Linked DNA regions of Yarrowia lipolytica. The protein of the gene in region 1 purifies or fractionates together with the protein of each later gene. This does not show direct contact. Links are inferred from orthologs where the notes say so. Each region holds a gene or a part of one and is shown on either strand. Other genes may lie near its edges.

The links. The genes of interacting proteins can lie anywhere in the genome.
Region 2: the proteins of YALI1_E21430g (region 1) and YALI1_F09456g purify together in Saccharomyces cerevisiae (affinity purification with mass spectrometry; 7 studies listed by BioGRID, with this or other methods). This does not show direct contact. The link is inferred for Yarrowia lipolytica from reciprocal best matches to the Saccharomyces cerevisiae genes TAF10 and TAF4.

Annotation. Positions count from the first base shown.
Region 1 is NC_090774.1:2,141,075-2,144,322, reverse strand, and holds YALI1_E21430g (uncharacterized protein), read right to left. Parts: upstream 1,345-3,248; coding exon 529-1,344; downstream 1-528. Other genes in the region: YALI1_E21443g (uncharacterized protein), read right to left, coding at 1-24; YALI1_E21417g (uncharacterized protein), read left to right, coding at 2,535-2,595, 2,649-3,070.
Region 2 is NC_090775.1:944,136-947,436, reverse strand, and holds YALI1_F09456g (uncharacterized protein), read right to left. Parts: upstream 1,744-3,301; coding exon 646-1,743; downstream 1-645. Other genes in the region: YALI1_F09481g (uncharacterized protein), read left to right, coding at 1-380. UniProt on the Saccharomyces cerevisiae protein: Functions as a component of the DNA-binding general transcription factor complex TFIID. Binding of TFIID to a promoter (with or without TATA element) is the initial step in pre-initiation complex (PIC) formation.

The sequences.
Region 1 (3,248 bases):
GAGGGCAATGTTCTTGAACTGCATGGTGGAGATGAGAGTCAAATGAATTCGAAGAGAGTGGAGACTGAAGATGGAGATGGTGATCCAGTGTGGAACTTGTCGCCATACTTATAGTCCCCAAATCTCACCCGTTGATTGCTCTCGACAACCGATCCAACATGTTCAACATACCCGTCGTCACAACCACCCCTGCACCACCCTTTTGCTTCCCCCTGCTTACCTGCCCTGTTCTATGAGACCTGTTGGAGATCCACTTGACGAAATCGAGTCTTGTTTCGATAGTAGACGTCTCTTGTAGTGTCTTGTAGTCGCTCCAAGCAACGGTATCCCAACTGGGAAGGCGTTTTCGGAGGGAGAAATGCGGAAAAACGCCGGAAAAAGAACTTCGCAAGAACGGTGTTGGATCCACCTCAACTACTCACGATATGTTTAATGTTACATTGCCTAAATACTCTAGATATCCTCCTTGGTTGTATCCTCGATTCCGCCTTCCCCCTACCTCTTCTACCTCGCTTGCGCATTCCCTGTCTACCTGTAATAGTCGGGTCTCTTGAGGTTGAGACCGTACTCGCTGCTTGCCGACGACAAGTCCTCCATAGTGAGGACAATTTTCGACCGACCCGATGTGCTGCTCTGCACCTGCGCGCCTCCCACTCCTGCAACCAGAGCCTTGGCCCGGGCCTGGGGGTTGGAGGCCGAAGACACGGACGACGACGACCGGATGCGCGAGTGCTGGTAGGCGTCGGAGGCCAGATCTGAGATGAATTTCTGGGTCGCCAGCGCCAACAGTCGTTTGATCCGCACATCGTTGGTCTGGAACCCCGATTTTGCCAGATAGTAGTCTGTCACCGCGTCAGGAATGATGGGCGCATACTCGTTCATGTTGTCCAGAAACTCGCTCAGCGTCTTGTCCTTGCGCGTCACCGGCACCGGGCCCGGCACCTGTGCGGTCTCCTCTTCCTCTTGTGCCGGTCCCTCCAGCTCAAAGTCGATATCAATGTCGTTTTCCTCGGGATTGGCATCCTCCATGTCAACATCTTCTGTTCCGGGAGCTGCAGGAGCCCCAGAAGCCCCAGAAGCTCCAGAATCCCGTGCGCCTGGTTCCTTGTCCTCGGAGTTCTTCTCTCCAGTCTCCTTCTTCTCGCCATCCCCCTCAACACCATCTTTGCCTCCCTCTTTTGGACCTTCCTCCTTGCTGTTTGCGTCTGTGTCTGGTGCGCCTTCCGTCGGGGCGGGCTGCGGGTCGTTTTCGGCAGCGGCGGGCTCCGCGGGCTCCGTCTTGACGGTCGTCTCGGGCTCCTTGTCCTTGATATCGCTCATTGACACGTCTTGTGGTGATGACATTTGCAGAGTGGTTGCAAAGTGGGGCGCGTGCGGAGTGAAGTTAGCTTTGCTTAGTAATGATTAGTCAGGGTTGCGAAATGGGCGAGAAGTGGATAATGGAGGAGAGACGAGGTGGGGAGAGAGACGAGGGGAGAGACGAGGTGGAGAGAGACGATGTGGAGAGACAAAGATGGAGAGAAACGAGGTAGGTGAGCTTCTTACCATTTCCAGTGTGTCTGCAAAACTAGGTTGGTTCCTGTTTAGTTGAACAATAGTTAAGGGAAAAAGTACGCTGGGGGTGCCAAAGCGGGCTTCTCGAGGTGCTAGACGGACGAAAAATGTGTCAATGGTTAGAGAAACTGAAAGGATTAATTTTGAGGCTGTTAAATCAAAGAATTATACTGTTTTTGAGCCACTGTGGGCATGTTTCTGAATTTACAAAGAATGTTTTTACTTGGATTTAGTTGGGACAAACAGAAAGAAAAATGTGAGAAGGAGGAAAAAAACATAGAGAAAAAAAGAAGAAAAAAAAAAAGACTGTAAAATCCACAAACTGCTTAAAAAATCTATACAAGGGTCGAGGAACGAGTGAAGACTTGGAAGATGCGGTTAATGGATCTAGACGAGATGGTCATCTGTGACATTCTATCATAGAGCCACTTGTTGACGGCAGCAAAGTGATTCCGAAGCTCAGACCGAACACTGAGTGCTGGTTGTAGCGAATGGACTTGATACGAGCAGCAAAGGTGTTATTGTTGGAACAGTTCCTTTTCCCAGAGAATCAGAAAGCCATGTGAGAACCACTTGAAGGTGGAGTATGGTTTGTGGGTTAGTTCTGTGAAGATGGGCTTACCAAACAGTCCTCTGGCGCGACTAGAGGCCGTCGGTTGAATCATCGCTGTCTGGTTCAGCAAAGACGATTGATTACGGCAAAGACGATTGATTGCAGCAAAGACGATCGATTGCAGCAACGACGATCGATAGAGCAAAGATGATTGATTACAGCACAAGACTCTCCGTACCAGCTGCTGATACAGGAAGTCGTTGAGAGCAGTCGAGACAAGCAATCGAAACACGCAGTTGGCATCAGAAGATGAGAAATGTATGATCTGATCTGATGATCTGAGTTGATGAGTTGCCCCTGTCATTGTCGACTTGGTAGGACTCATGATAACCAATGGTGTCCTCCAGTATCGCCAGGATGGTACGGTATGTACTGTACCGTGCTCAAACGCAACCCTGATGTCTGTTTCGCGGCCATGATGAGCAGAAGTTGGTCAAGCGAAAGGTTGACAATTGAACTCGTTCAACCGACTTTTCAATAGTTCTAACCACCAACTGTTTACCGTTTCTGCCTTCTCGACAATCGAATCTCTCAGTATCAGAATACCAACAGTTGTCTCTCGACAACCGCCCAACATCACCAGATCTAGATCATTGCTTCACGCCCGGTGGAAGACGAATCCGGTGGAAGAGGAATAACGCAATCTCGAAGGTCATGCTCGTCCCTGGGCGTGTCTCGACCGTCAGCTCTGGTTGGCATGGTCCCACATTCTCAGCTGGGCTCACGAGTACGATATTCACCTTGCCAACATGTTTATCTTTCTTTCTGATATTTCACAGCTCCGCCGCTGGCCGCCCAGAAAACAGTCAACCAACAAAAATCCAAGAATCGAGGCTCCAATTGTTGATGGCCATTCAGTGCGAGAAATGGAGACTGTGCTGCGCCGGCCGAGAGCGGAGATAGGTGCAACTCGAGCAGAGCCAGGGGAGAAGGGAAGATGACGACTCTGTATTGGCGGATGAAGAGAGCTGGCTCAAACAGACTGTCCGTGACCCACAGACTGTCCGTACTACCGATAGACACGGCCAGACTGTACTTTCAACCGACTGTAATTCTTACAGACTCAACCAGAGTTGTCCCT
Region 2 (3,301 bases), on another chromosome or scaffold:
ACATTGGTCTGAATGACCTGCGACACGCTGTGGTTTACGACGGACTGTTTGCCTTCTTTGGTAAGAAGAAATACTACTGTCTACAGGCCAACTTGAACAGCTCTCCAGCACGGCACTCCTCGTGGATCAAGCATCTTTTTAGATCAACAGGGAGTCACAGGGACCCCTGGTGGGGAACTCGGTACGTCATGGTCATGGGAAGTGCCAAAAAGTATGTGTTCGACGTTAGAAAAGGGATTTTACAAAAAGTACATGAGCAGACGTTTGAGGCCCCCAAACGGAAGTTCACCTGGAGAGATGCAATTGTCATAGGGACCATATTTGGTTCCGCCGTCATAAACTGGACAGTCATCTATTTCGCCTACAGATGGTTTCTATGACGCGTACTTGTACCTGTACAATCCCATCCATCATATCATATAATATACATTTCGTTATTTGCTATACCTGTATCCTAGCTCTTATGCTGCTGTCAATAAGTTTTTCCATAACATACTGGAAAGCTTTACCTCTTTCAACCACGGAGCCTATCCGATGAAGCTATCCTCCTCCTCCAATCACTTCAATGAATCCACACTAATGATTTTGATGGTCGCCCTTCAGCTATACTTCTCTTTTACAAAACCAACCACTCACCTCTGACGGTTAATTTCTCAACTTGGCATAGCCCTTCACGATGGCCTTTTCCACTCCTGCTCTCTCCTTCTCTAGGGCTCCCAGCAAATCTCTGAGGGCCACTCCGGGTTCTTCCTTGGCTTCTCGTGTCTTTATCGCCGAGTCGCCTCTGCCTCCGCCTGTCTGGCCCATTCGCATTCCTCCAGCACTGGCTCCCACGCCTCCTGCCATCCACGAGTACTTCTTTTTGCCCGAAGACATCATGGCGGCCGTCATGTTGGCAGCCTTGTGCTGCTGGTCCTCGGGGTTGGCTGCAGACTCGGGTTCCGCGTGATCCAGACCCAGCAGGTTCTTGCGCTCTGCTCGCTTGTCCTCCCGCTCCTTGTCTTTGACAGCGATACCCTTGAGCGCACGTGACAGGCTACTGTGCACCGAGTTTCTCGATCGCCGTCTATGTCGCGACAGAACCAGCGCCTGAGTCAGAATCTGGTTGAGCCACTCCTCACAGGCGTGCGAGATGAGCAAAGCCGTTTCTCCGGCTCTATCACTGTTGAATCGCAGGCCAGCTTCCTGGCTTAGCTGTCGGACCGTGTACGCCACCCGTTTCTGGTCCAGCAGCGCGTGTCCCTGCTGTCTGTATCCGTATTGCTGCTGCTGCATGCCGTAGCCGGCCTGGGGCACTCCCTGTTGCAACAGCGCCTCCTCCTGCTTGAGATCAAGACCCACCGCCGAAATGACGTCACTGAGCTGATCAGGATCGAGTGGTTGTCCGGGTCCCTGTCCGCCGGGGCCTCCCTGTTGTTGGTTCTGTGTCTGTTGGTTCTGCGGCATGTTTTGTTGCTGTGGAATGGGTGTATTTGCGCCCGAGTTCATGGGTGACGCCTGGAACTGGCCATAGTTAGACGCATTGTAGTTGTTGAAGGTCTGCGGCGCCATTTTCGGCTTTTTGGAGATTGGTGGCGTCATGGCCGACGTGGAAGTGCGCTTGAAACTGTTGTTGGGGAACTCCTGGTGGAACTGGAGCTGCTGGGGCGGCGACTTTTCCCGGCCGGGCAACAGCACGGGCTCCTGCTTGGCCATCCCCGGCGAGGCCTGCGGATGTGGCGAAGCTGAGTCGCGTTGAGACATGTTGTTGGATGAGGAGCTGTTAGACACAGTGATTTGGTCTGCTCCTGCACCACAGGGCAGGACAGAGTTTCACAGGTTGGGAGTATGTGAGGTGGTGCTGTGTCATGTTGGAGACGGTGAGAGGAGGGAGAAGAGAACTGCTTTATATAGGCGGATTGAGCAGAATGACGGAACAAACGTGCTCTTGTGCCCAAAAAGATTTGCTAATACTCAATGAGACATCCCTAGAGCACTCCCTCACACAGCAATTTATTAGAATCGTATCGTACAATACATAATACCACACTGTACAGCAATCAAGGTTTTCTTTGTATGTAGGATGGGGGTATGTCTATGAGAGGTCTTAGAATGTCATTGTGATAATATTTTCACTCAGTTTTTTGATAAACCTCTGCTTGGTGGTATTATCAGTAATTATGAAAAATTACAGCCCATTTTATTGGTTCAAAGTACTGTTGCAGGACCCCTCAAATTGGAGCCACCAGAACCTTCTCTAATATATACTTCCGTAACCTACCATCCTCCCATATCACTTTGCTGGTGAACATGACGTAATGTTCAACGTCTTACCATCATAAGTATGTAATGTACTGAACGTAGCTATAGTTGATAACCCAGTGAGATACCACAGACACTGGTGGAGACATGTGTCGATACCTCGGATGACCACGTAGTCTTCCTTGAAGTCTTCGAACGGCGGTATTGTCAAGAGTGACTCATCTTTGATACCACTGGTGGAAGTGAGAGAGCAAGACTGTACCTACTTGGGCTTTCATGGTGGCATGAGTACATCATGATAATCGGGCTATAGGTCAGTGAGATGGCCAACTTCAAGTGATCAACGGTTACCAAAAATGACCACCAGTGTGATTGAGTGGATTGGACTAATTACTGTAGTAACTGATAGAACTGGTACATACTGTCCAGTATGTACATACATACAAAACATACATACTTATACTTACCATCTCCTGGTCTATTCCTAGCTTTATCGGAACAGCGGTGACTGTGGAAGTACAGTACACGGTATGTACTCGTAGATGCTGTGTGAATGATTACAATGTGGAGCAGAACTTGACTTGGTTCACAACATACTCCCTGCTATCATTGGTCATGATGAGGTCCTGGTATCAGCCCTCAGATATCTTCTTCCCAGATGGGTCTGCTATGAACCATCCAATTATGGGACATTAACTGAATCATACAAGAGATCTCGTCTGGTACATTGTCTGTATCTTCTCTGTATTGAATACTATTGGTCAATATATGAGCATTCTTGTCACTTGCCTTAGCTATAAGTATTCCTCTAAGGGTCTGCTGATAGTTAGCTCATAGTATCGTAGTTACAGTACAGTAAGTACAGTACGAGTAGGATATTGACGCTATAGACTACGAATACATAATGTACTTATGTACCAGAAGCTCTTACTATAACATACCAGTAAGTACAGTATGTACTGTACATACAGTAGCTACTATAGCTCATAGAAGAGAATCAGCTGTTGTTAAATATCAAGCATTACGGTACTTGTAGCCGTGAAATGATCATTCTAATCCG